Ovis aries: one gene and its partners. The protein of the gene in region 1 interacts with the protein of each later gene in a pairwise test. Links are inferred from orthologs where the notes say so. Each region holds a gene or a part of one and is shown in the gene's direction. Other genes may lie near its edges. The genes, in order: UBQLN1, SCG2, SERPINI2, PNMA1, BPIFA1, TFF1 and ZG16.

Region 1 (4,480 bases):
CACAGAGCAGTATCATAAGTGCAGAGTTAAACGGTTTCCAACGGTGGAACTTTCTACCTTGACGAGTAATGATTACTTCACATCTAAACATATGTAAACAGCCATTCTTTAGCAGAAAGCTCTGTGTAATTTCTTCATGTTGTTGAAAAATGCTGCCAGAAATTTCGCTGATATGAAATGACGTCGCTATAGCAATTTACACGTTCAGAACTTTAGACCCAGATTTCAGAGTGGCTTTGCTAAGAAGTGGACTTCATAAAAGAGTACTTAAAAGAGCCAGGACAGAGTTGGACGGTTTAAGAACAGAAATATAAAGTGTATCTTTGCACATCTGGGTCACGGTGTGGTGTCAAAGTTTACATTTGCGCAATACTGGTTTATAAAGTTTATGCCCAGTGTTGTACATTTCTTGCAAGCCATCTTTAAAGGCAAGTGATGAGGTCATTTCCAGTTTAATATTCTCTAGGGGAAAATTAACTTCCTGTTTCTTATTTACACATGTATTACACTGAAAATAATTTTTGAACCTTTTGTGTCACCTAAAGGCTGAAAGAGCAGTAAGTTAATTTGATAGAATATAAAATGAACACCTCAGCTACACTGTGCTGTCCCAGCCGGGAGGGCATGCCTTGGATACTATGTTTCTGCCCTAAACATCTCACGGGACAGTATTCACAGAGAATCACAGGTGGGCTAGCGCGCCATTGCCAACATAGGAGGCCTGATCACCTGACCAAACCTGGCTGACCAGGATGGGAAGCTCTGGCCCCGGAGCACTGACTACTCGGAATAGAGCAGGGTGGGCGATAGGGGCGTACTCCGTCCATGCGCACCGTGTAGTAAAAGCAAGCGTTTAAAATTTTTAAAGTACGCGAAATTTAAGCACATTTAAATATCAACTACAAAAAACCCTCGCGGGCATTTGTTCCAGACCCTCCTCCCCGTGGGGTACACCGTGAAGCAAGCTCAGGCTCCTAGGGGATGCGCACCGTAACCGCCAGAGTGAGGTGAGAGGGTGGGGAACTAGCGGGCCTGCCATCGCGCAGGCGCAATTCCGGCCGCAGAGCCCGGTGGTCTAGCTTCCTTTCCAGTAATTTCGCTAGCCGTGACGTCATCCTCGTGCGCCCTTAACGGTGCCTCCCAGAACCCCCCCAATTTATTTTTTGGTTAAAGAGATAAGAAGGAATGAACTGACCTCTTCCACCCCACTTTGTTTTTAGTCCTTCACTCTGGACGCACCTACGCTTTGAGCAATGGAGCAGGAGAGGGAAAGAAAAGCACTCAGAGAACCAAACCGCGCCGGCCAGGCATGACTCGGCGACGTCGCCAGCCGCCTTACCCGGCGTGCCCCGCGCGGCGCGGGCAGAGCGGCGTAGGGGGAGGGGCGGGGAGGAGGAAGCGGCGGTGGCAGTGGCTGCTGCGGATGTCGCTGCGACTCATCGCCGTCTGAACACACAGCGGCTGCTGAGCGCCCGACTCGGGCCTGCGCCGGAGCCCACGCCAAGCTCCGCGGCTCCTCGCCCGCCAGGGCGGCCCTGAGCCAGTTGTCACTGAGGTAGCGTGCCCCACATTCTCCGCTGCCCGGCCAGGCCGGCTCTGGCGTTGCCTGGCTCCCGCTCCCTCACCCGCTCCCTCCTTTGCGCCTGAGTCACCGCCGCCGCCATGGCCGAGAATGGTGAAAGCGGCGGCCCTCCAAGTTCCCAGGACAACGCCGCCGCGGCCGAAGGTGCCGGCGCCCCCGCCGCCACCGCCTCCACGGAACCCAAGATCATGAAAGTCACCGTGAAGACCCCGAAGGAGAAGGAGGAGTTCGCAGTGCCCGAGAACAGCTCCGTCCAGCAGGTGAGGGCCGCGCTAGGCTCGGGGCGGGGTGGGGATGGCGGCAGGACCTCCGCCAGCGGCAGGAGGAGACTGTTTTGCAGGGGCTTGAGGGTAAGGGGTCGTCTCCGGAGGTGCCCTCGGCCATTCTCCGGGGTCTGATCCCAAATTAGATCACACCCAGGTTTGTGGGTTTGCTCCTGGGGACACCGCAGAGGTTTGTGGCGTGGCCTCTTGGCCTGTTTATGGGGCTCGCCGATGCCGCTCTCCTCGGCGCCTTCCTCTTGCTCCGGCGTCCGCCGACCCCAGCCTCCTCCCTCAGCTCCCCGCCTCGAGCCGCCTCCCTCTGACTCTGCACAAAGGAAAGAGACCCGCCGCCTGGCTCGGGCGGAGTGGAGGCTGGGCGAGGGTTTGGCTTAGCCCGGTCTGCGGTTTTGTCTCTTGAAGGGGGGGAGAAAAAAAGGGGGTGCTCATTGTTTTACCTGCCTGGGGATTAAAGTAGATTTTTGGGATGAGGAGCACGTGTGCATTTAGTTCTGCGTTTTGACCGCTGAAATCTTTCCCACCTTCCAGTCTTTAAAGAAAAAAATGAGCTATGACGTAGAAATTGCTTTCAGCCAAATCTTAATAGAACTAGGCTTAAGGAGAAAGGTGGATGACTTTCGTTGACGACATGCTGGTTCTGTTTTTTTTTTTTTTTTCTAAGTGTATTTGTCATTCTTTAGATGCCGGTCGTTGGGGAGGTTTTTGTTTGATTTTAGAGGAATAGCAACGTTATTCACATGTTAGCAATTGCAGTCAGATGAAAGAGCACGAACCTGGAGTTAATGGAGGAAATTTAAAAGTAATTTACCGCTTAAAATCTATTTAGGAATACAGTTATTGCCGTTAATTAATGATCTTGAGGAACTTAAATCATTTTAGTTTTTGTTAAATATACGTCCCAGAATATTTCCGTAATTACTGAATTGATCTCAGACAGTTGGTCAGCAGATACCAAGACAGTGTGAACAGTTTATGAAGAAGCAAAAATGAAACGTACCTGTAAGTTTCCCTGAAGGAACAATAAATAATTGCGATATTTGTTTATATGATTATGAACGGTGGTGTGTTCTGTCAAGTAGTAAGAATGTGTAGAAACTTTGACCACCTTTTGAATCCCTATTTTTTTGGTCTCTCAATTTTCCTATAAAATTCTCCCTTAATTTTTAAAGTATTTTCCAGCATACAGGAAAGTTGGAATAATTGTGCAGTGAACTATCATGTGTCCATCACCTACATTTAGCATCTTGCTTTATTTGCTTTATCAAACAATTAATCATTTATTGGTCAATTTTATTTTTTGGATGCAATTCAAAGCAAGTTGCAAGTAGTAGTACATGTTACGCTTTTAAACTGTGGTGTTGGAGAAGACTCTTTAGAGTCCCTTGGACAGCAAGGAGATCAACCAGTGCATCCTAAAGGAAATCAGTCCTGAATATTCATTGGAAGGACTGATGCTGAAGCTGAAACTCCAATACTTTAGACACCTGACGCGAAGAACTGACTCATTTGAAAAGACCCTCATGCTGGGAAACATTTAGGGCGGGAGGAGAAGGGGACGAAAGAGGATGAGATGGTTGGATGGCATCTCGGACTCAATGGACATGTTTGAGTAAGCTTTGGGAGTTGGTGATGGACAGAGAAGCCTAGCGTGCTGCAGTCCATGGGATCGCGAAGAGTTGGGTACAACCGAGCAACTGAACTGAACCATTGAGTTCAGGTTTTCAACTTAAAATTTTTGAAGGTAAATTTGACTTGCAGTGAAATGCAGTCGGTTGCCATTCCAGGAGTTTACACAAATACATACACCTGTGTAATCCGAAGTCTTCTGGTGTCTGCTTCTGAATGTGCTATCTAGGTTGGTCATAACTTTCCTTCCAAGGAGTAAGCAAGCGTCTTTTAATTTCATGGCTGCAGTCACCATCTGCAGTGATTTTGGAGCCCCCAAAAATAAAGTCTGACACTGTTTCCGCTGTTTCCCCATCTATTTCCCATGAAGTGATGGGACCAGATGCCATGATCTTAGTTTTCCGAATGCTGAGCTTTAAGCCAGCCTTTTCACTCTCCTCTTTCACTTTCATCAAGAGGCTTTTTAGTTCTTCTTCACTTTCTGCCATAAGGGTGGTGTCATCTGCATATCTGAGGTTATTGATATTTCTACCAGCAATCTTGATTCCAGCCTGTGCTTCTTCCAGCCCAGCGTTTCTCATGATGTACTCTGCATATAAGTTAAATATAGAGTTTCACATAAATGGTATACGGTATACACTCTGTTGGGTAAGGCTTTTTCATTCAGCTTAGGTTTTGAGACTCATTATTATGTTACTCCTTGAAAGAAAAGTTATGACCAACCTAGATAGCATATTGAAAGGCAGAGACATTGCTTTGCCAACAAAGGTCCGTCTAGTCAAGGCTATGGTTTTTCCAGTGGTCATGTATAGATGTGAGAGTTGGACTGTGAAGAAAGCTGAGCACGGAAGAATTGATGCTTTTGAACTGTGGTGTTGGAGAAGACTCCTGAGAGTCCCTTGGACCGCAAGGAGATCAGTCTTGGGTGTTCTTTGGAAGGAATGATGCTAAAGCTGAAACTCCATTACTTTGGCCACCTCATGTGAAGAGT
Region 2 (4,466 bases), about 190 Mb from region 1:
CTTTCTTAGTGCTTTCCAATTTATATCAAATAAAAATAACCTGTTGTCTCTTATCCTAGAATAGAAATAATCTGTTTGTCTCTTATCCCCATTAGACCAATACATATATTGGGTTGCCCAAAAAGCTTGGTTGTTCAGCTTGTTTCATAACATCTTATAGAAAGACCAAATGAAATTTTTGGCCAACCTAACAGATATATATGCGTATATACATGTAGATACTATTCATCTTTGTATCTAGCACTTAGTAGGCATTACAACATACTGAGTAAGTAAATCAGTGGCTAATTATTCACTTAACAGAGACAAAAGGGATCTTTTATATAGCAAGATTCTTTTGCATTGTTTATTTCAAAATATATGGTTTTTAGAAAAACAATATCTTTAATAAAATGAAGTTAAAAATTTAGACTTATATGAATTATAAACTATATAATCAGGTTACCTGGTAAAGCACAGCAATGATTATGACTACAAGTCTGAGAGGTTGGAAGTTAAGTATTAATACTATATTATTCCTTGAATTGGTCACATTTATGGAATGTATTCAATTCACCTGATTCAACTGGAGGAAGAAAATATTTATAGTATAACTTCCTTTCAGTTACAAACAATTACAGTTGCATATGTGTAACACTTTTCTCAAACAGCAAAATTTTTTTTTCTTTTTCTTATTGAAAGTATTCTCAACTTCCGAGCTTCCCTTTTTGAGATCAGATGTTGTAAAAGATGCCAACAGATTCATATAGAATTATCAACTATTAGACCCGAGTCCTTAGAAATACATACTTCAAAATTATATTGAGACCATAGACTAAAACCCTAATTCATTAGAGCCTTGAGGTCGACTCACATAAAAAAAGAGGACACTTTTTTATTCAAATAAACATGATTTTAAAAACAATGCTACTTGTGGTGATGATATGAAATACGACTTCATATTCATAACCTGTATTCTGTTCCTCTTGAAGCATACTGAGGAATGTTAATGTAATTTCTTTGTGGACACTGAAGGAAAAAAAAAAAGTCCTTATCTGTAAAACTTTCTTTTAACAATGATGACAATAACAACAATAGCAACAGGAAACCCTTATCACAAGCTGTTTGGACACAGATGAGGTTATATTGCAATTAGCCACGTCTATCTGATGGATTTTTCTAAGGGAAATTGTGCAGAACATTTTATTTCGAGCCTCAAAGATTTTGTTAAAAGAAAGGGAACTGCAGTTTTTGCCACAGAAAGACAGGTGGCGTAAGCATGCAACTTTTTTTTTTTTTTTTTCAAAATCTATAAAGTGATTATTTTCTCTCGGGTTCTTTGAAAAAGCTCGCCTGTGCTCCGGTTTGTGGCTGAGCGGGTGACGTCAGTGTGGCAGTGCGGAGTCAGGCGCAGCGGCTCTCTATAAGCCGAGGAGCTGTCCGGGTGCTGAAACTGTCCGAGCAGCTCAAGCCGCGGACCAGGAGGAACATGCTGTGGACTTCCTCTGCCATATAAATAAGAGGTAACACTGCTTTTCCCTTCTACTTACTGGAAAGTTCTAAATTGCGTATTCTCTCCTTAATTCCTAGCTAAGAAGAAAAGGACCATTTGGCAAGCTTATATCTATAGAATAACGGAACGGCAACCTGCTGCTCATCTGGCAACCTAAGGACACTGTATATATGTACATATATATGCATGATTGCGTGTGTGATTTACACTGCTTGCTGTCAGGTATTTATTAACCATTGTGTTATTTAGATAATCATATATAAGAACATGAAAAAGTTAAGGATATTTGTGTCAATACACATTATTAATGTAAAGTTAACCAAGCCTGACATTTGGTTTCTTTCCTTAGTTTATTGTTTCTTCCCCTAAGGACCAGATACAAGGGCAGGGATACAATTTATATACTTAATATACTTAACAGTAGGTGTCCGATGATTCAAAGGCTGTTAAACAGGTTCCGGTGATAGAAACAACCAATTTTGGAGCTAGGTTTGTTTGCTTGCTTGTTTTTTCTTTGACATTTACTTTGCAAGAGCTCAAATTTAACTAACTGTATAAAATTATTTTCTAAATTGGTATACTCTGAAAGGGTTTACATTATTGTTTACTAATTTTGGTCCTAGCAGAGTAAGACTAGAATGAGCTTCTTCGATTTTTTCAGGGGGAAATATTATCTTGGGTTTTAGGTTGGATATGACCATGGATTACAAAGAAATAACTGAAATGTATGAGGAAACATTTATAACCATATAAATTATTTATTATTATGCTTTGGTTGAAAGAGGTTGTACAACATCTTGCTAAATATTTTGAATGGGACAAGTGTTTCTTTTTCCTGTATCCTAACTAATTGAATTGCTCAAATTTGATACATCCAGTTGCATTTGTCAATGCTCTACTATAATTTCAATAGAAAAGACATTTTATCTTATGAGGTTTTTTGGTTCAAACTCTACATAGAACATCAGAACTGTTCAAACCACCTTCAATATTTAGATGAGCTGCTATCAGCTTATCTAAAAAAATCCCTTGAGTCTTAGTCAAAGGCAATAACAATGTCACCCAAACTGAATCTGAGTAAATGACCAAACGGTAGCTCTTGTTACGCCTGTGGTTTAAATAACTGCACTGAATATTCTGCCCCAACACCACAGCCAAGTTCACCTACAAAATAATGATTTTAAAGATCATCACATAACCTAGCATATAACTAGGTTAAGGATACTTCAGGGTAATGGTTTCAAAGAAAATACATACTAAGATTCTTAAAATTGCTAGTCCAAATGCCAATGTGGAAAGTTGATTTTAAAATTTAAACTAATCCTGAAATAATATAAACAAGAATGCATTATGTACTTTTATTTAAGCTAATAAGTTATATATACAATTTGCTCTAGTAAACATTGATTCATAGTAAGTATTTTAGAATCTTCCTCTGACATGCCTTTAAATATTTTCCCTTCAGTAAATTAAGTAGCCAAATTAATGTAAATAAATGTATATTTAAATAATTAATTTAAATAATCATTTTAATAAATAAGTCTGTACTAAAGAAATTTCTGTAAGTACAACATTTTTAGATTCTAAAAACTGAAAATATTACTTAAATACCAATATGATCTAGTGAACAATGATATTTTCTACAATTGATGTCTAAGCTAACAGTAATGATATCCAATAACTTAACTTATATATTACAAAACCATAATTGAGTTAAGATATCATGAGCAAACTTGTAAAATTCCTTTACTTTATTTGTAACAAAATTGCACATATTAAAATAGATTTCAATGTTAGCAATGCCAAATGTAAAACATGTAAAAACTAATCCTCTTGCTAATTCATACAAGAGACTATAAGGCCTTGAAGAAAAAGAGTGAATGAAAAATTTTAAATGGAAGAATTCAATACACTGTATGCATTTTCCTAAACTGGGAATTACATACTGATTATTTTAAAATTTTCTAACAGAATGAGTCATTTGAGATTTCATAGGTCCACACCCAAATAGACACAGAGTCAAGCTGAATTTGAACACTTACAAGTTCGGAAATAGACTGGTTCAGAAAACTTATGTTCCCTTTGTAGCATCTGTTATTATTTACTATATCTCTTGAGGGCTGAGGAAAATATAATCATGATTGCATTTTACAAGACAGTCACAGCAAAATTATTAGAAGAAATATGGGGCACAGATGTTTTAAAACAGTTTATATTTTGGTACATTGGTACATTTACACTGAAATAAATATCATTGGATATCGTGGATTTTTTTTTTTTTTTGCAATTCTTACTATTGTGCTTGTATATCCTGATAGTACCATGTGTGCTATTACATCAATCAAGATGAGTGATTATAAAATACCAGACTTCTAAATTCAATATTTTGGAATTCATTGAGTAAATAAATACTGCTTTGGGGATATTAAAAAAAAAACAACTTTGTTAAGTTTGCCAACTAGCTTGGACTTGAGAAGACCTATATTCTGGAGGTCATTAAGGTACAGACCTTCCAAAATTAATAATATGATTTGGTATCAGACTAAAGGACAAGTTATTTCTGAAAATATATATGAATGAGACTCATCCACAAGAGAATTCAGTATGATTAACATTAACGTGGAATATCACTTCATCTTATATAGTAATGTCACTTTTGTTATGTTTCTACAACAAATTAGATGGACAAGTCAGTAATTAAACCACATGGTTTTTGATAAGGATATAAGTCTGTGTGTACATGCATGTCTTAAATTGAGCCATCTAATCCTTCTGCCAGTGCTTTCAGTGTAAATGCTGTACAAATAACTAAAACTCATCTTGGAAAATCTTTATTTAACAGAAATAATGCATCCTAAAACAAAACATGTCTTATAAGTTAAAAAATCATACTTGAGAAACCTCACATCAGTGTTTTTGCTATTATTTTAACCAAAAGACTGCCATATAAATTTGATGCAAAATGGACAACAAT
Region 3 (3,814 bases), on another chromosome or scaffold:
GAGAAATAGGCAATTCTGATCCTTAGCATTTCTAGAGATGATTACAGCAGTTACCTCATAAATTTCAAAACTTGGATAGGCACAGTTCGTCATAAAAGAGCAATTCTTCCTTAAACTGAAATAAAAGTAGTATTGAAAAGGATTGCTCATCACTGTCCTACCCTCATCAACATTCATTAGTATTCCTCTTTCACAAATATCTCATGTTATGCATAGGATGAGATTCTAAAGATACCTGTCCAACAACTAAGAATGAGCTAAATTTGACTATAAAGAGGGAGTTTCTTTCAACCTTTTTGAATGCATATTCTCATTTTTGACAAATTTCAAATTTACATGGACAGTTTTTTTTTCCTGTAGGAGAGCTGGTTTCTCTACAAAATGCATATTCCACAAGGGATAAATGCTTAAAATATTTATACTAACTTAGAAAATGTCGTTAGTTGTACCTTAGGCTGCTAAAAAATGGTGATATGAATCAGAGTGCTTAGAAGTAAAGCCGAGAAGCTGTTGTTTTTATGTTGTTCAGTATGTCAGTATACATTATAATTATTTTTCAGGAGAAGAATTTTCTGAGCTGAAGTCATTTTTCTCTGCCATCTCAGAGAAAAAACAAGAATTTACATTTAATCTTGCCAATGCCCTCTACCTTCAAGAAGGATTCACTGTGAAAGAACAGTATCTCCATGGAAACAAGGAATTTTTTCAGAGTGCCATAAAGCTGGTGGATTTTCAGAATGCAAAGGCTTGTGCAGAGACAATAAGTAACTGGGTAGAAAGCAAAACAGATGGTAAAGTTTCCCATTTCCATAGAGTCATTATTTGCCATTGTATTCATGGTTTTTAATATACTAAAGTAAAGAATGATTGAATATTTTCCTATTAAATTATGGCTCAGAGGGATCAGTTCCTCTATTTTGCTTCCCTGTTATTCAAATTAACACTGAATTGTAAAATGGAGAGAAATTGTAAGCAGCTTTGAAAAGTATACAGATTTTTTTTTGGACAGGTAACCTGATTGAGAATTCTTACTGGAAGAATTTTAATAGTAATCTTTTATTAAAGTGTGTTTTTTTAAGTATGACAGCAGGAATAATATCTTTGGCCAGATAAGACTTAAATCTATCAATCTCAGATGCTTTCTTTCCCACATACACTGTAAATAATTAACACATATTAGTTGGATGTGTTAATGTTTCATAATAAACATTGATAGTTCTATCATAGAGTTGTAATCTAAACTTTTAAGTATAAGCTAGCAGAGATTCCAAAGGCACTACTGAGAGACATAGTAGAACACAAGTTTAAGCTCATACAGATCTGAGTTCAAATCCTGACAAGTTCTAAGCCATTCCCCATTTAAAATGAGGATACTATTATAATGTTTTAGGATTATTGAAAGATTAAAAAGAATGTGTGTGAAGAGACCAGTATATATCAGGCCCTCAATTAATAGCAACTTGTTTCTTCATTCATTCATTCTGCTATTTAAGCCGAAAAAATCTGTGATGTGTAAGATGAGACTCTGTTTTATATGGGGAGCCTCCGACGGAGAAGCATAAGTTGAAAATGTGAGATGGGTATTGTGAGCACTGTTCACAGGCAAGTACTATTACTGGGATACACATTAAGAGCATCTGTAGACAGTTCCATGGCACCTGATTATGCTGTTGACTCATAGCTTTGAAATACTCATTAGACATAAAAATCAGAGACTGATTTTTTAGAAGAGGAACATCACATTAGCAACTCCATTCTTATCCTTTCTGAATGGTCAATGGCTACAGATGCAACAGCAGAGAATTTGAGTGGACCACTAATTTATTAATTCTGATTGACTTGCTGAAGAATTTGAAATAGAGTTTGAAAAATAACAACAGATATGAAGAGATACTTGATTTTGTTCTTTCTGTCTGAAAAGCAATTTACACAAATGATTTCACCAAAGAGCAGCCATTGCTAAGTCTGTCTAAATTTATCTAAGATAATTCTGAATCTCCTGTTTCCTAATGAAGTCCTGTTTGTACCTGTTTCTTTGTCAATATTTAATAAATCTCCTCCTTAACTCTTCAAAAATTTCCAAGTTTAAATGATAAAACACCCTATTTTTAATTGGTTAGCAAGATAAATTTTTGTTTTAATTTAATTTAAAGCAGTTTTTTGAATCACTGTTGCCTGTTTCTTTCTGCCTCTTGCTCTATTCTCTCCCCAGGAAAAATTAAAGACATGTTTTCAGGGGAAGAATTTGGTCCTCTGACTCGGCTTGTTCTGGTGAATGCTATTTATTTCAAAGGGGATTGGAAACAGAAATTCAACAAAGAAGACACACAACTGATGAATTTCACTCTGAAAGATGGCACAGCAGTCAAAATTCCAATGATGAAAGCTCTTCTGAGAACGAAATACGGTAATATGAAAAAAAAAAAATCACACTCTAAAGGACAACTTTGGGAATTGCTAAGTATATTAATATTTTATTTTCTCTGTTTCAGGTTATTTTTCTGAATCCTCTATAAACTACCAGGTTTTGGAATTACCTTATAAAGGTGATGAGTTTAGTTTAATTATCATACTTCCTGCAGAACACGTGAACATAGAAGAAATGGAAAAGCTAATTACTGCTCCTCAAACCCTGCAATGGTTCTCTGAGATGCAAGAACAGGAAGTGGAAATAAGCCTTCCTAGGTTGGTAATGTCATTTTATCACTCTAGTTCTTATGTTTTCACTTATAGACGGATTTCAACAGCTGGCCGAAAGATAATTAATGTTTAAAAAGTCTATTGACAAAAATAAAATGAAAAACCCATTAGGAATTGTTACTCTACTTTATGGATACAAAGCAGGTCTGAACATTGCCAGCGCTGTTTTGCCATGAGGAGGATAGAATTTAAGTACTCAATATTCTCTGAAAGGAATGAAAAAATATGTCTTCAAAACAGAATGCTGGGATTAAAAAGAATTATTACTCTTTTTATTATACAAACTTATTTTTCTCTAACATTTTTTTCTCTGGTTGAAATTTAAAATATTTTAGCTTCTCTTGTGTTTAAGGAAAATAAAATTCCCAAGACACTTGTGATATTATACAGTTAAAAAATATGTTGTTACCTTTGATAGAGGGTGCTCTCTATTCAGTTCAGTTCAGTTCAGTGGCCCCGTTGTTTCTGACTCTTTGCGACCTCATGGACTACAGCATGCCAGGCTTCCCTGTCCATCACCAACCCCCAGAGCTTACTCAAACTCATGTCCATTGAGTCGGTGATTCCATCCAACCATCTCATTCTCTGTCGTCCCCTTCTCCTCTTGCCTTCAATCTTTCCCAGCAGCAAGGTCTTTTCCAGTGAGTCAGTTCTTCTCATCAGGTGGCCAAAGTATTGGAGTTTCAGCATCAACATCAGTCCTTCCAATGTATATTCAGGGTTGATTTCCTATAGGATTGACTGGTTGGGTCTCCTTGCAGTACAAGGGACTCTCAAGAGTCTTTTCCAACAGCACAGTTTAAAAACATCCATTCTTCGGCACTCAGCTTTCTTTACAGTCCAACTCTCATATCCATACATGACTACTGGAAAAATCATAGCTTTGACTAGATGGACCTTTGGTGGCAAAGTAATTGGTCGTAACTTTTCTTCCAAGGATCAAGCTTTTTTTTTAAATTTCATGATTGCAGTCACCATCTGCAGTGATTTTGGAGCCCCCCAAAATAAAGTTTCTCACTGTTTCCATTGTTTCCCCATCTATTTACCATGAAGTGATGGGACCAGATGTCATGATCTTAGTTTTCTGAGTGTTGAATTTTAAGCCAACTTTTTC
Region 4 (4,337 bases), on another chromosome or scaffold:
CTTAGGTTTACAGGAAGTATGCATATTTTTATAAAACAATTGTATGTCCTCCCCATATTTTTGCTGTGTTAATATTTGCCTCTAACAATTTGCAGCTGTTTCACCTTTTCCTCATTTGTCTCTCAGTCGAAGGCCTTGTTGGAGGGGACAGAGCACAGGAACAGCCTTGACAGTCTGTAATTATTGTACAAATATTTTAATAGCATATAAATAAGTATATTCCTTTTATTTTGAAAAAAAAATCAGACACTGCCTTCTGTGTGTTTGCTGCCTGTGGCACCCTTTTTTAAAAAGACTGTTACATATTAAAATAGTGTACATATATATAAATATTACCTCTTTTGCTGTACAGTTGTGATAGACCAGACGGAAGATTTTATTTTTTGTGTGCTTTTTATAAAAAAAAAAATTAACACACTAAAGAAAATCTTGCTGATGTGATTGTAATGTACCTATGTAACTTATTTACTTTTGAATGTTCTTCTGTATCTTTAAACCTTTTATTAAATAAGGTTTTAAAAATTCATAGTTGAATGCTGTGTCCTTTAGGGGAGATTTTCACCATCTAGGATTGACGTAAATTGGCCTTGGTTTGCTTGCAAGGAATTACTTGAAATTTTTGAGCCATAAGCATTCTGTTTTATCAGCCCTTTGTCAGTGATGCCAGGACAGGGGAAATAACACACTAGCGTTTGCCTGGCTACAAAGGTTACTTAATAGATCTAGATCTTACAAAATTTTAGAAGAAAAAGGCTCAACTCAGTGTCTGACAGGAGAACACTGCACACTTCCAGCGTTTTAGTCTTATTGGAATGAAGTTCGCGGAGGGTGCACAGTGCGATCGATCGGCTGGTACTGCATCTGTTTTTAAACAGCAAACTTTGGGAGTTAGTGATGGACCAGGAGACCTGGCGTGCTGCAGTCCATGGGGTCGCAAACAGTCGGACATGATTGAGCGACTGAACTGGACTGGTTGAAGGAGCGACGTGAGTTAAGTCTTTCTTGACAGACTCATATCATCTTCAATGCACTCCAGAATTATATTAAACTTTTAAACACAGTGCTTTGTTTAAAAAGGAAAAAAAATCTGGAAAATGAAAAAGGACATGCGCCATCAGAGGACGCTCCGCGGGCCCTTAGCTGGCACCATGGCAACCGCAGGCAGCCGGAGCGTCAGGGTCTGGAGTCTTCCAGGCCGCCGTTGCCTTGGCTACGCTCGCGCAGGATTCGGCTGCGGGGGCGGGGCGAAAGCCACTCGTCGGCCGGCCCCGCCCCTCGCTGCGGCAGTAACGCCTGGGCTGGCTGCGGGTCGGTCAGGCCGGCAGCCCCTCAACGCCGTTCGGGGTCAGCTCGCCGCAGCCCACGCGCAGCCGCTGCGGCCTGCCTTCGCCGGCGCCGCCTCTAGCCTCGCTCCCGCCTCCTTCCCGCGCCTCGGCTGCTGGTGCTCAGGGTATCCGACTGTCCTCGCCGCCCAGAGAGGTGTACCTGCGCCAGCGAAGAAGCCGCTCTTGGGCTGGCCTCGCTGCGACCTCTGGACAGTCTCCCCCTGCAGGGACGGCACAGTTCGCAGTCTGCAGAGGAGCGGCTCCTCGCGCGCCTGAAGGCCGAGCTCTGACCGCGGAAGCCGGGTTGATGCCAGGAGGGGCAGCAGCGAGTGGTCGGCTCCTGGGCTGCGGAGAACTGGCGGCCACGCCCCGGGATCACACCCCGGCGGCCTCTTCAGAGCGCGGCGTCTCCTGCCTTCTCCTCCTGCCTTCCCTCCGGGCCTCTGCGCGGAGACACGACACCCTGCCTGCAAGTGCGGGACCCGGCCCGCGGACGCCGACCGGAGACACGAGATGGCGTTGGGCGCGTGACTGAGCATCCCCCAAGTTTCGCTCCGAGGACGCGGAGGACGGACGTTGGTGGAGGCAGTGAAAGGACGAGAGCTGGACTCTGGTGTCGTTTGTTAATTGTGATTGCTTGAAGCTTGACTCCCTTGGGCAAATTGCAGGGGAGTGTCCGCTGTCGTCCTAAGTCCTTTAGCACAGGGAGCCACAGTCTTAACTTATCTAACCCCCTGATAACCCAACTATCAGGGGCTCTTGATAGTTGGGGAAAATGGCGATGACACTGTTGGAAGACTGGTGCAGAGGGATGGATGTGAATTCCCAGAGAGCCCTGCTGGTCTGGGGGATCCCGGTGAACTGCGATGAGGCTGAAATCGAAGAGACCCTCCAGGCTGCGATGCCCCAGGTGCACTATCGAGTGCTTGGGAGAATGTTCTGGAGGGAAGAGAATGCCAAAGCAGCCTTGTTAGAGCTCACTGGAACTGTGGATTACGCTGCCATCCCTAGGGAGATGCCGGGTAAAGGAGGGGTCTGGAAAGTAGTCTTTAAGCCTCCGACTTCCGACGCTGAATTTCTAGAAAGGTTGCATCTCTTCCTAGCCCGAGAGGGATGGACTGTGCAAGATGTTGCCCGTGTCCTTGGGTTTGAGAACCCCGCTCCGGCCCCAGGCCCAGATATGCCAGCAGAGATGCTAAACTATATTTTGGATAATGTTATTAAGCCTCTTATAGAATCCATATGGTACAAGAAGCTGACGTTGTTCTCGGGGAGGGACATCCCGGGGCCTGGGGAGGAGACATTTGAGCCCTGGCTGGAGCACGCTAATGAGGTCATTGAGGAGTGGCAGGTGTCTGATATAGAAAAGAGGCGGCGGTTGATGGAGAGTCTTCGAGGCCCTGCTGCTGATGTCATCCGCATCCTCAAGACCAACAACCCAGATATTACCACCGCCGAATGCCTGAAGGCGCTTGAGCAGGTGTTTGGAAGCGTGGAGAGCTCCAGGGATGTGCAGGTCAGATTTCTGAACACTTACCAGAACCCGGGAGAAAAATTATCTGCTTATGTCATTCGTCTGGAGCCTCTGCTGCAGAAAGTGGTGGAGAAGGGAGCCATAGATAAAGATAACGTGAACCAAGCCCGCCTGGAACAAGTCATTGCCGGGGCCAACCACAGCGGGGCCATCCGAAGGCAGCTATGGCTGACTGGGGCTGCGGAAGGGCCGGCCCCTAACCTCTTCCAGTTGCTTGTGCAGATCCGTGAGGAGGAGGCCAAGGAAGAGGAGGAGGCGGCTGAAGCCGCCCTCTTGCAGTTAGGCCTGGAGGGGCACTTCTGAGTCCCGAGAAAACTGACTTTAGTGCAGACCTAGATCACAGCTGCTTTTCGTGTCTCTGTGCTGTCCTGCAGGTATGTCACCTAGTGGTAAAGACTTAGCGTGGTTTTTCTGGGGTAAGTCAGGCCTGCATATTCACGTTAACATTGGTAAAAGCTTGCAAGCCAGCACCAGAGCTGCTGCAGTATGAGTCATGTCAGCCACAATGCCAGGGAGAGACTTGGACAGTGCAAATTGTCAGTGCTGCAAGCTGTCATGGCGTCATCATCATCAGTTGTGAAAACCATGGGAACTCGTGACACTTCCCAGAGGTAACTGAATGTGAAATTGCATGTTCAGAAGTTTTTAGTGCACGGCCTGGCTCACACAAGAAGTGTTGAGTAAAAATGTGAACTGTTGTTATTACTACTATTGTGAGTAGTTTTTGTGTTTACTGTAAATTGTTTCTGATTTATATTAATGGAAAGAAATGTGAATTAGATATTATTCAACTTTACAGTGCAAATTTCTCATTTTTCATCTTTAAACATCTAGATCAGTTTGAGACGTGTTCTGAGGCTGCAAAAGGAGTTGTTAGAAATACTGCACTTAGAGTTGTGTAAATCAAGTTTTCACTGAACAAGATACGAATAGAACAGGGAGGTTAATATGAACCAGCTCAGTATCTATTCCCCCATTTCAAATCTTTATCATTGAAGAAGTTTACCTTGTTCATGCTGGTTCTAAGTGTTCTAAATTTGAAGTTATCAAGCACATGTTTATTAATAAAAATATTTTAAAAATTCTGTTGTCTTGTTTTTCTGACATGTATGAAAACTTTCAGTGTAATTAAGCTCTATGATCTTCTTCGGAAGACTTCGCCATGTCACTGAAAAAAACCCCAAACCTCAGTTCTTTTACTTTAAGCTTTATATCATACTATGTAATTTAAAGTTTCAGTACCTTTCAATATATTCAATTTTTGCATGTTTTCTACCAGACAAGTGTTTGAAGGCAAAATAGACATAACAAATATTAACTTACTATAAAATGTTAGAAAATCCTGAAATGGAGTTTAGGAGGTTATCGAGCAATGCTTCCCCCACACCGCCCCCCCCCCAAACTCCCACCATTTTAAATCTTTTTTCCACTAAAAATGTTTCACTGCAGGAATAATAACTCATCATACTTGTATAAAA
Region 5 (4,362 bases), on another chromosome or scaffold:
AGGGGGAAGCGAAAATAAGAAACAGGCTCCCTTGCTCCCTCCCCAAGGCGGGGCACGCTGGTTCCTTCTATGGGGTGAGGGTAGGGGGTGTGTCCAGGCATTGGGCTGGACAGGCGCTTAAGTGGTCTGCCCACCCTTTTGGTGGTGTTGGGTGCAGGGGGTATGAGCAGTACCCTGCTTTTGCTCCCGACCACCACCACCCTGGTTTTGGTTCTCAGCCTTTCAGAAGTAGCAGTTGGGTTTGGGGTCTTTTTATGTCTTGTTGTCAATCATTTGCCCCAACTGTAGACGCATGCAGTTATTTTTAGTCCCTTATAGTTTGTTTGTATTTTGTTACTTAAAGAGACATTTGTCTAGGAGTAAGCACTGGAGCAACTAACTCTGCCCTCATCTTCTCTGTGTCCTTGGGCACCCATCCCCACTGGGCCTCAGTCTCCACCTCTGCAAAGGAGGAGCAGCAACACCTCCCTCCAGGGTTCTGTGAAGATGTCTAACTCCCAGCATGTGACTGTCATGCAGTTGGGATTCAGAAGTCAGGAGACCCCCACCCTGGAATCGAGGGGTGTCCCAGGTGTAGGGAAATCAGAGACAATTTGATCCTTTTTCTACATTGGATATGAGACTTTGGCCACCTGATGCGAAGAGCCGACTCATTGGATAAGACTCTGATGCTGGGAAAGACTGGAAGCAGGAGAAGGGGACGACAGAGGATGAGATGGTCAGATGGCATCACCAACTCAATGGACATGAGTTTGAGCAAACTCTGAGAGATGGTGAAGGACAGGGAAGCCTGGATGCTGCAGACCGTGGAGCTGCAAAGAGCTGGAGATGACTGAGCAAATGAACAGCAACGAGACTGGTGGTGCTAGTGGCTAAGAACCCACCTGCCAAAGGAGAGGTGAGAAAGGTGGGCTCGATCCCTGGGGCAGGAAGATCCCCTGGAGAAGGAAAGGAAATGGCACCCCACTCCAGCACTCTTGCCTGGAGAATCCCATGGACAGAGGAGCCTGGCCGGCTATAGTCCAGCGGGTCGCAAAGAGTCGGACAACGAGTTAAACAACGATGAGACTGAGGTCCCTTCCAGGGCTCCAACAGTTGCCTCTCCCAGTGCTCCAAACAGAATCTTCAGGTCACCTTGGAGCAAGGGTTCCCAGCCTCACCCCCGCTCACGAAACCATGAAATCTTGAGTAACATCCGCATCTCATTTTTCTGTTTAACTTGTCGATCAAACAGCTTAACGGTTCCACCTACTAATGTGACTGGCAATTATTTACTTTGGAGAGCCCTGAAAGACACCAACAGATTGCCGAATTCTGAATCATCTATAAATCCATCTCTCCATCACTCATTTCCTGATTTCCACACTATAAAAAAGGCTGCCTTCTCAGCAAAGCAAGGAGACCACGACAGCTGCCAGAACGTCTGAGAAGCCAGGTGAGACTTGCGCATTCCACCCTCCCCCACCACCACCACTACTGCCTCGGCGGGCAGAGGTGCTAGCCTCCACACTGTGGCATCACTGGCTGGCTGCACTTCAGATCACTCTTTGGGGGTCTTGCAAGAGAGCCAAAGCTTGCCATCTGGGGGGGCAAGGTGATAACCGTCCACTCTGCCTCCCTAAGAGACCATTGACATTAATGCAGAGACTTTTGGCAACAGGCTATTTGATGGTGATAGGGAGCACGTGGCTGTAGGTACATTGCTCAAATTCCACGTGAGCTAGGGCTCTCTCATGGGCGTGCTCCTCCTGCCCTAAATCCCAGTCTCTACGAGTTTTATCTTGAGTTTCCCATTGTGCATTGCTCAGTGTACACGCTTGCTCCATTGTGCATCCAGACCATGGTCCAGCAACCTCCTACAATCCACCCAATTTTGTACATTTTGGTGCATTTTTCTGGGACCAAGGGGCCCTAGCTTCCATTGGAGTCATAAAAGATCTGTTGCCAAAAAGAGATTCAGAGGCCCCAAGCCAAGTTTACCTCTCAAGGAAGCCACAGCTGGCTCTTTGGACCTGTGGCAGCAGCAATGATGGCTCTTTGGCCAAATCAGCCAGTTGATGGGATTTTGCCCAAAGCAGCCAAGTGTCTCCAGATTGTGGGAGCCAGTTCCAGCTGTCGACACCTTTACTGACTACCAAGAAGGCCCTGGAGAAGGATGGTGGCATCTGGGAAGGGGACTGGTGCAAAAGGGAGGCAGCTGTTGCTGTTCACTTCCTGGTGTGCTGGGGTGGGGGCAGGCAGTGGAAGGGTTCCTCTCTAGTATCTGCGCCACAGTGGTCCTTTCCGCAGATACTAAGTGAGAGGATGTTTCAAATCGGGAGCCTCATTGTCCTCTGTGGGCTGTTGGCCCAGACCACGGCCCTGCTAGAAGCCCTGCCCGTGCCCCTCGACCAGAATCTGCCCTTGGCTGTGACTCCAGCCCTGGCCCCGAGTCCCACAGATCTTGCTGGAAGCTTGACAGGTGGTAAGTAAGAGTCTGTGACAACTTCTTCCACGTGTGTGTGGGTGTGTGTGCGCAATCATCTAATGGTTGGGAAGGGGGCTAAAGGGGGGTAAGGACTGAGGAGCCATAATTGTCAGATCTGACCCCCAAGCACCCCACACCCATTTCCAGCTCTCAGCAATGGTCTGCTCTCTGAGGGTCTGTTGGGGATTCTCGAAAACCTTCCGCTCTTGGACATCCTGAAGACCGGAGGGAATGCTCCCAGTGGCCTACTGGGGGGCCTGCTTGGGAAAGTGACTTCACTCACCCCTCTCCTGAACGACATCATTGAGTGAGTAGCCCTGAAACAGGGCCTTGGACCCCATCAGAGATCTCCCACTGGAGACCAGCCAGCCCCAGGCAGTGGCCTTGGGGGAGGGAGCAGGGTCATCAGAACATGAGGCCAGGACTCAGGCTGAGACCCCCTCGCAGTCTGGCAGGGAGCAGCAGCTCTTCTGAACCAGCAACTGCTCCCAGTCCGGAAGCACAGCTTGGATCTCCAGCATTGTCTATAACCCTCACCATAGTCCTCTGAGGTCAATTTAACGATGCCTAGTTTCATAGAAAAGTGGAGGCACAGAAACGGGCCTGTGCCCACACCACCAGAGTGACTCAGAGTGCGGGTTCTGATCCTAACGGACTCAAGTCCAAAACCAAGGCTTCTTCCACTCCACCATGATAATTTTGTTCTCGTCATCGGTGGAATCCCTTCTTAAGTTGCTCTCCTCACTAGTGAACACAATGGCTTTTGATGTAAGCGAGAAAGTGTAAGCTATTCTCCTCAGTGACATCATCATGTGATGTCCATGGAACAATCCAATTAACAAAGAGCGAGAGTGGAAAGTGAGCTGGCAAGACTGGGTCCTTTACAGAACTGGATCAAATCCATTCCCAGGAATCCTAGCCGCCCCCCCCCTCCCCCCAGATGCTTGCCTCTGACTTGAAGACAGACAGACAGACAGACAGCCTTGAGTCTGATTTCTGTATCCATCATGCACTTGCTGGGTGACCCGGGGCAAGGTACTCAGTCTCTCTGGGCTTGGCTTCTCCACCTGTAAAATGAAGATCATGGTACCCACAGAGAACTGTCAGAAGGACTGGAGAAGACGCAAATCATCTGACACAGAGGCTAGCTCAGAGGAGAGAAGAGGCCTCAGAGAAGAGGCTTACTTCCCCCCTTTCTCGGTTCTCCCCAGCTTCCTGCTCCTCTGTCTTCATGATTAACTTTATTGATTGACCTGCCATTGAAGGGCTCAGCAAGATTCATGATCCCTACTCTTAAATGTGGAGGACTTACTTCAGTTGCCCCGACATCACCCACTTACCCACCCATACATCCACTTGACCATCTGCCCTTCATCTAACCACTTTCTCTTCCATTCATCTACCCCCATATTCATCCACCCACCTGCCCATTAGTCCACAAACTCAGCCATTATAAAATAGCCCCTTTCTTTGTAAGGCTCTGAGCTGGCGTACAGGATGCAAACATAACCGAGACACAGTTTCTTATCTTGGAAAACCTCATAGACCTAAGGTGAGCAGAGGGATCTGACCCAGTGCAGAGGATGGGAAAAACTGATGCGAGACTCAAAACTCGTGTGGCTATTGTTGCAAGACTCTCCTCATATCTCCTCCATCCCACCTTATGGGTAGCTGCATCTCTGAGATGCTCCTGGTGGGATTAGATGTGGTTTCTAAGTTTAGGACTAGAGGAGTTAATGTTTCTCACTCCAATGTTTCTCCCTGGGCAGTTTGAAGATCACTAACCCTCAGCTGCTGGAACTTGGCCTTGTGCAGAGCCCTGATGGCCATCGTCTCTATGTCACCATCCCTCTGGGCATGATCCTCAATGTGAAAACGTGAGTGGACTCCAAGGG
Region 6 (2,450 bases), on another chromosome or scaffold:
GCCTCGTTGCACGTCCCTCTAGCCCCGGGGACAGACTTGTCTGGGAGTGGATGGAGCACCTGCACAGCCAGGCCTCCCTCTGGAACCTGGCTGATGGCCCTCATCCGTGGGCACCCTGAGACCAGGTGCGGAGAAGAGCCCCCCATTCTCCATTCCCATCCCAAGAGAGAGAAGGGGCTTCAGACTCTTCTGCCCCTGCCTCAATCTGTCCACTACCAGATCTGAGCAGTGCTCCTTCTCAGAGCCCCAAGTCCAGACCCCACAGGTCTTGCATCTAGATCACGTGGGCACTTGCTGCCCATCTTCCCTGCATGTTCTATGCCTTGGGTCAATGGCCTCACAAACCTGGCTAGAGTGTCTGAGTGGCTCCCTTTGCTCAAGAGCTGCAATCATCCACTCCTAGCCCTCAGCCTGCCTTCCCCATACCGCCCCACCCGCCTCCCCCTCTTGCCTGGAACACACCTTGCTCTCTTTCTGCGCCACCTTTGAACACTCTGCTCTCTCTCTCCTTGGAATAACCATTGCCTCGTTCTTACCTGGCCAACCTCCTCCAACAGGAAGCCCTCTTCACTTTATTCAGTCTGTAATCAATCATCCCTGCTGGGCTTGCCCTGTGGCTGGCTGTATTATGCTGTTTCGTATGTTTATTTGGCTTCCTTCTCCATCAGACTGTTAGCTTCTCAACAACAGCTTCTCTATTTTCAATTTCCAGGTCCCTGTTACCCAGCACGTGGCCTGGTGTGAACTTGATCTTTGAGGGGATAAACAGATTCCTGTCTGTGTCCCGTGCTAGCTCCAGTTTCTAGCACCCACAAACAGTGCTCAACAGATATTTACTCATCTAGTGACTAAAGTTTAATAATTGTTCATTGACGTTAATGAGCAAATGGGTAAATTGCCTGGGTGGGTGCAAAGTCTATGAATCTCGGACACCTTGCATTGTTCCTGAGTTTCAGTGTTTCCGCGCCAGTAAGTGAGCTCTGGGTCTCCATGGGCTGCTCGTCTGATGGCTGATTTAACTGGGGAAGGAAGCAACGTGGAGGGTGGGTCATAATAGGGAAGGAGTCAGCCCATGACTTACTTTCACCTCGTGGCCCATATTCTTTCAGAGACGTGTCAGGTGGAACCCCATCAAAGAACGAATTGCGGTCACCCCGGCATCACGGCTAAGGAGTGCAAAGATAAAGGCTGCTGCTTTGACAGCACTGTCCGCGGAGTCCCATGGTGCTTCCAAACTGCGCCCGTGGAGGAAGGTAGGGCCTTGTCGACACCACAGAGTCTGAATACACGGGACCACGGAACCCTAATTCAAGTTGCCATCTGTGTTTTCACCCAGAGTAATGGCCTCGGGGTGACTAGGAAGATGTAGTTTTGCCTAAATCAGTGTGAATCCAGGGCTGGGGGATGGAAAGAGCTGAAAGACCTGTTTGGTGGGGCACCCTACTCTTCCTGGCTTTTCTTCACATGTCTAATCAGGGATCTGTGAGGAACTGTCCTTGGTAATGCTTCGTGGCTCACCTGGGGTGGGGGCTTGCAAAGGGTGACAATTATGATACAAAGACCATCCTTGTTTTCTAAAGAATTTTCCCAGTGATGTTTTTAAGTAAATTCTCTGTGATTATTTAAAAGTGAAAGAAAATGCTTTTTCTTACTAATCTCTTCTCTTGGACACTTCACCCTTGCAGAGTGCGAGTTTTAGATACTTTTCTGGTGGAAATGGCATTGGAGTGAGAAGGACGTCTGCCTGGTGCCAGGGGCTCAGCCCCATCGCTGGCCGGATGTCTTGGGGTCCTATGAACCTGAACTCCCTGCCTGGATTGACTGCTCAGATTCTCTGTATTCCAAATTAGCCTAAAAATTAAAAGAGATGAATGGTCCTCTCTGCTTGCGCTTCTTATAAAAATGTAAACAATTTTCCTTTCTTTGAAAGAGAAATGCGATACTTGTGCCTCTGGGTTCTCGCTGTGGATTACACATTAACTCGGGCTATCTTGGGCCAGAGACCGCGGCTTGTAACATTGTTAGGTTGTCTCGGTGGATGTCAGTCATCGGGGTCCGTGCACCAGGCCATCGGGTTAAAAAGCCTCAGAGAAGCCACGCCCTTGTCAAATCATGGAAACAGGCTCCAATTCAATCACATTCTTTACATATTCATTGTGGTAACAAAAATTGCCTTGCAGTTTCTTCATGTCCCTCACATGGAAACTGACTTAGGAGATAAAACCCACAGCAAAGTGCCTGAACATACTCATAATAAAAACAATTGAGGAGGACGGCATGAGTTGACCCCTTGAGGAAACTCCCCCACCCACCTGGTTCCCCAAACTTGAGCTCCGAGTTGGAAAATAGGACAAAAGGGAAGGGTCGAGAGTCCCCAGTGATCCCTCGTCACCGACACAAGAAAGATGGAGGGGAGCCAATTGGACCTGCCTGGACCTGAGCAGACGCCC
Region 7 (4,472 bases), on another chromosome or scaffold:
AGAAGGGAGATCACACAGCCCTCCTAGATCTCGGAATCTCCCCACCAGGAGCCCCGCCCTACTTCCGGCTCCCCAGGGTGGGGCTCCTTTGTTTCCTGGGATGGGTCCTCAGCACCAGATGGTGAGCCTGTCCTCTGAATGCTGGGCTCCTGGTTATTAATAACCGAGGCTAATGGTTCCAGTCCCTCCCTGGCCTTTGTCCTTCTGACCTGTTGCCTCAGTGGGTGGGAGGGCCAGTCCTAGAGGGGTTCCAGAAGACAAGGGCTGGCAAAGAGAAGAAATCGATGACCCCAATTCTGGGAAGTTTCGGACCCACAGGAGGGAGTCATTGCCCTGGGCGGGCTACAGCACCAGGCAGATTCAGCTATGGTGTCAGAAGTCCTGAGGGCCCAGCACGGCCCCCAGGGCAGGTCCTGTCTGCTTTTACTTCCTCAGCTTCCCATTTGCCCACTAAACTGACTGTCTGTTCAGGGGAGGGGGATCTGCAGGTGTTGCCTCAAGTCGCTCTTCTCAGAGAGAAAAAGTTTGTGAAGCGGCTGACAGATTGATGATGGATGGTTGGAAGAAATAGAGAGTACAACAAAATATTAACCATGAGAGGATTTCCCTGGTGGCTTAGTGGTAAAGAATCCACTTGCCAGTGCAGAAGACATGGGTTCGATCCCTGATCCGGAAAGATCCTGCATGTCCCAGAGCAGGTAAGCCCGTGCGTTGTCACCACTACTGAGTCTGTGTTCTAGAACCTACGAGCCACGACTACCAAGCCCTCCTGCAGCAACTGCTGAAGCTCTCGCACCCTAGAGCCTGGGCCCTGCAAGAGAAGCCGCTGCAGTGAGAAGCCTGCACACTGCAACGAAAAATGGCCCCTGCTCCTCGCAACTAGAGAAGAGCCGGTGCAGCAACGAAGACCCAGCACAGCCAAACATAAATAAATAAAATTATGTTTTAATGAAGTAGAGCTTTGTTTCGTCTGACTCAATTTAATAAAAAAAATTAACCATGACAGAATCTACATGGTGAGCATACGGATGTTCTCTGTATATTCTTACAACTTTTCTACACTTTGAATTTTTTCATATAAAATATGAGAGGAGAGAAAAAAATTGCCCAGCAAATAGTATAAGGTGTTGGAAGTGTCATTCCTTTCCAAGAGAATCTATATTTCAAATGCCTGGAGAAGGCAATGTTTATCCTGAGAGATGGCAGATTGCAGGTAAGGACACCAGCAGAAACCACATAAAGGAGGGAGAACCCTGGATGACACCAGGTGATGAGCAGTGCTGCCTGCCCACAGCTGCTGGCCTTTCGGTTGGTGATATTTTCCCAAGTTTATTCTGCCTCTCCTGAGATCTAGGCCTTGGCCCAGAGTTGGCCCCACCCTGCCACCTGTAACCCTTGGGGTAGGATAAGTTCCAGACCCTGCCTGACAACTGATCCTAGGAGTCTGGTCATGTTTGCTCAGGAGGTGAGGTTCACACGATAAACAGCAGGGGGAGGGCTTGGACTTGGTATAAAAGATCTGGAAGTTTCTAGGGGAGCTATTTTGCACTTGAAACTGCCAGGTGAGGGGTGAAAGAGGTATTGGCTAGGGGGTGACGGGGATTCCTGGATCTGGGTTAGGGGAAAATTCAAGCTGAGCTGAAGATGAGACTCCCTATGAGCCGCAGGAAAGACCTGGGTGTCAACTAACCGGGGCATCTGAATCGGAGCTAGTCTTAGGTGTAAAGACGTCTGGATCTCAACTGTAGGGCTGGAGACACCTGGGATACACCCGTGGCCAGATTTGTGTTAGCAGAGAAAGAGGTATGACAAATAGACCAGGCACCTGGCATCTAATTTCTTAAGCTGATTCCAGCTCCTTCTCAAACTTCTTGGGCTATCCCATCTCCACCAGAACTGCTTGGATGGTGATGCTGGCTGTCTCTTCTATTACCGTGTTCACTCTCCAAGTGACAGATAAATGCTCTAAAATGCTCCTTTCTTTCCAATTTGAGAAAAGGCCCAACCTAGGAATTTAAACTATGCCCCAGATGCCCCACAAGCTGGGCCAATCTACCCCAGTCCGACTTCCTTTAAGCTTTTCTCAGACTCCTGGTTTGATGAACTCAACCATCTCTATAATTTGGAGATGTCCTCCACCTTTTTTTTTTTTGGCTTTGCCATGTGGCTTGTAGGTCTTAGTTCCCCAACCAGGGATGGAACCTGTTCTCCTTGCAGTGGAAGTGCGGAGTCCTAACCACTGGACCACCAGGGAAGTCCCTCACTTCTTTAGAAAATTCCTTTCCTGCTTTGTGCTAGGAGGGAACAGGGGTCGACACAGCTTAATCCAGATAGAAAGTCAGGAGGGAAAAGGAGGGTTGGTTGTAGCCAGACAGGGGAGACAGAGAGGGATTAAGGACACGTAAGATAGTATCTGTGATGAACAGGACTTGAGACTATGGGCAGTTCTTTCAAAGCTGAAGACTGAGTGGACAAGGTCTGCATTGAAGGACCAAGAACCCCAAGACTCAGCTGGAGGTCAGGGGAGCCTGGGTAAATGGCCTCCGAGGGGATAAGGGCAACTATTCACTCCCTTTCTTCTCACTCCAGCCCCAGGATGTGGACCACTGCTCTTCTCGCCCTACTTTGTGCCTCAGCCTCTGCCACAGAGAGTAAGTGAGAAGCCCGAATCCCAGGACTAGATCAGGGGAAGACAGCCGCCCGCGCTGCGGGCAGCCAAGGCTTTCAGAGGCTGACTTGGCGTGGTGGGAACTGAGCTGCGGGAGGAAGAGGGGTGATGTGGAGAAACTGAGCTCTCAGGGGATTTCTCCCCACAACTCCTCCTTTCCCTCCAGTTCAACCCAGGGCCTCCTCCTACAGTGGAGAATACGGAGGCGGGGGAGGAGAACGATTCTCCCAGTCTGGAAACCAGCTGGATGGCCCCATCACCGCCATTCGCATCCGAGTCAGCAGTTACTACATCGTAGGGTAAGCGTCTTCGAGATTCTGTGCTTTGGCGACCTTCTAGGATCTTACTAAGTTAGGAAGGTCTCAGTGACATGGGGTCGCACAGAGTCGGACACGACTAAAGCGACTTAGCAGCAGCAGCAGCAGTCACTTTGGGTCACAGCAGCAAGTCACAGGGATAACATGATACAGAAAAGTTATTAGATGACTTGGATTTGAGACCTGTGCTGCCAAAACCCCTAAGACTCCCACATGTGTGATCATGAGTAACTCATATACCCTAACCTCTGAGGGACCTGGGCATTGTCTAGTTTACCCCAACCCGAGGTTTAAATCCTGCCTGGCATCTTCCGTCTCTAACTGGATGCCTCTCCCCAAACGTGTGTCTTTCTGACATTGGAGCCTGGCACAGCATAAACAAGTTTCTCCCCTCATGGGGGCCTTTCAGATGTTGGGAAAAAAAAAAATCCCTTTTCTTCTTTCAAGTAGGGAGTAGGGTCCCAGTGGGAACGTAGACTCCAAAGGCAAGCTCTGATTTTCACTGTCTGGGTGATTCTGGGCAAGCTGTTTTCCCTCTGTGAGCCTGTTCATCAGCAAGATGAGGAGCTGAAGTTCCATGTATGACCTTCCAGGGCTCATCCAACCCTCACACTCTTCAGGGCTGTCATCTCCATCACCAGTCTGAAGGTCTCAGCCTGTAGGCCAACAGCTCCTGAATTCTGATCATCTTACTCAGTGTCTCCCTTCTTTCCCTCCTCACTCCACCCCTAGTCTCCAGGTGCGCTACGGTACGGTGTGGAGCGACTATGTGGGTGGCACCTCGGGAGACCTGGACGAGATCTTTCTTTACCCTGGAGAATCCATCGTTCAGGTGTCGGGAAAGTACAAGACCTACCTGAGAAAGCTGGTCTTTGTGACGGACAAGTTCCGCTTCCTGTCTTTCGGGACAGACAAAGGCACAAGTTTCAACGCTGTTCCTCTGTACCCCAACACTGTGCTACGATTCATCAGTGGCCGATCTGGCTCCCTTATTGATGCCATCGGCTTCCACTGGGACCTCTACCCCTCTGATTACGAGAGCTGCTGAGTTGCACAGCAACTCTACAATGGGGACTTGGGAACCCACTCACCACTAACCACCATCCACATGTCTCAATTTAAAAAAAACCAACAAACAATAAAAGGGCATGACTACAGCTAGTGGGATGCACCTCTTGACTCTGGGTAGGAATGTGTGAATCTCATTTCTGGCTACTTGTTGTGTGTTAGTCTGGGGAAGAGTGGGAGGAGGAGGGAGAGAGGTGAAAGAATCTTGAGCTTTTCTTCATAATTTATCAAGAGGAGATAAGGTCTTCCTTAGTGGTCCAGTGGTTAAGAGTCTGCCTGCCAATGCAAGAGACATTGGTTCGATGCCTGGTCTGGGAGGATCCCACATGTCGAGGAGCAACTGAACCCATTTGCCACAACCACTGAAGCCTACAAGCCCATGAACCCCAGCAGGAGAGTAGCCAGGGCTCACCACAACT

What was found.
Region 2: the proteins of UBQLN1 (region 1) and SCG2 interact in binary tests that used the Homo sapiens proteins (3 or more experiments, as listed by UniProt). The two-hybrid records come from large-scale screens. The link is inferred for Ovis aries from reciprocal best matches to the Homo sapiens genes UBQLN1 and SCG2.
Region 3: the proteins of UBQLN1 (region 1) and SERPINI2 interact in binary tests that used the Homo sapiens proteins (3 or more experiments, as listed by UniProt). The link is inferred for Ovis aries from reciprocal best matches to the Homo sapiens genes UBQLN1 and SERPINI2.
Region 4: the proteins of UBQLN1 (region 1) and PNMA1 interact in binary tests that used the Homo sapiens proteins (3 or more experiments, as listed by UniProt). The two-hybrid records come from large-scale screens. The link is inferred for Ovis aries from reciprocal best matches to the Homo sapiens genes UBQLN1 and PNMA1.
Region 5: the proteins of UBQLN1 (region 1) and BPIFA1 interact in binary tests that used the Homo sapiens proteins (3 or more experiments, as listed by UniProt). The two-hybrid records come from large-scale screens. The link is inferred for Ovis aries from reciprocal best matches to the Homo sapiens genes UBQLN1 and BPIFA1.
Region 6: the proteins of UBQLN1 (region 1) and TFF1 interact in binary tests that used the Homo sapiens proteins (3 or more experiments, as listed by UniProt). The two-hybrid records come from large-scale screens. The link is inferred for Ovis aries from reciprocal best matches to the Homo sapiens genes UBQLN1 and TFF1.
Region 7: the proteins of UBQLN1 (region 1) and ZG16 interact in binary tests that used the Homo sapiens proteins (3 or more experiments, as listed by UniProt). The link is inferred for Ovis aries from reciprocal best matches to the Homo sapiens genes UBQLN1 and ZG16.

Annotation. Positions count from the first base shown.
Region 1 is NC_056055.1:36,050,175-36,054,654, forward strand, and holds the start of UBQLN1 (ubiquilin-1), read left to right. Parts: upstream 1-1,662; coding exon 1,663-1,842; intron 1,843-4,480. UniProt on the Homo sapiens protein: Plays an important role in the regulation of different protein degradation mechanisms and pathways including ubiquitin-proteasome system (UPS), autophagy and endoplasmic reticulum-associated protein degradation (ERAD) pathway.
Region 2 is NC_056055.1:225,805,043-225,809,508, reverse strand, and holds the start of SCG2 (secretogranin-2), read left to right. Parts: upstream 1-1,428; 5' UTR 1,429-1,502; intron 1,503-4,466. UniProt on the Homo sapiens protein: Neuroendocrine protein of the granin family that regulates the biogenesis of secretory granules.
Region 3 is NC_056054.1:220,632,382-220,636,195, forward strand, and holds part of SERPINI2 (serpin I2), read left to right. Parts: intron 1-560; coding exon 561-791; intron 792-2,212; coding exon 2,213-2,407; intron 2,408-2,492; coding exon 2,493-2,685; intron 2,686-3,814.
Region 4 is NC_056060.1:83,213,160-83,217,496, reverse strand, and holds PNMA1 (paraneoplastic antigen Ma1), read left to right. Parts: upstream 1-1,285; 5' UTR 1,286-2,100; coding exon 2,101-3,162; 3' UTR 3,163-3,944; downstream 3,945-4,337.
Region 5 is NC_056066.1:62,735,341-62,739,702, forward strand, and holds the start of BPIFA1 (BPI fold-containing family A member 1 precursor), read left to right. Parts: upstream 1-1,395; 5' UTR 1,396-1,435; intron 1,436-2,289; 5' UTR 2,290-2,304; coding exon 2,305-2,464; intron 2,465-2,614; coding exon 2,615-2,774; intron 2,775-4,236; coding exon 4,237-4,344; intron 4,345-4,362.
Region 6 is NC_056054.1:263,311,124-263,313,573, reverse strand, and holds the end of TFF1 (trefoil factor 1), read left to right. Parts: intron 1-1,109; coding exon 1,110-1,253; intron 1,254-1,685; coding exon 1,686-1,699; 3' UTR 1,700-1,877; downstream 1,878-2,450. UniProt on the Homo sapiens protein: Stabilizer of the mucous gel overlying the gastrointestinal mucosa that provides a physical barrier against various noxious agents. May inhibit the growth of calcium oxalate crystals in urine.
Region 7 is NC_056077.1:26,975,528-26,979,999, reverse strand, and holds ZG16 (zymogen granule membrane protein 16), read left to right. Parts: upstream 1-1,536; 5' UTR 1,537-1,562; exon of another isoform or gene 1,563-1,803; intron 1,804-2,589; 5' UTR 2,590-2,596; coding exon 2,597-2,651; intron 2,652-2,834; coding exon 2,835-2,967; intron 2,968-3,717; coding exon 3,718-4,033; 3' UTR 4,034-4,142; downstream 4,143-4,472. UniProt on the Homo sapiens protein: May play a role in protein trafficking. May act as a linker molecule between the submembranous matrix on the luminal side of zymogen granule membrane (ZGM) and aggregated secretory proteins during granule formation in the TGN.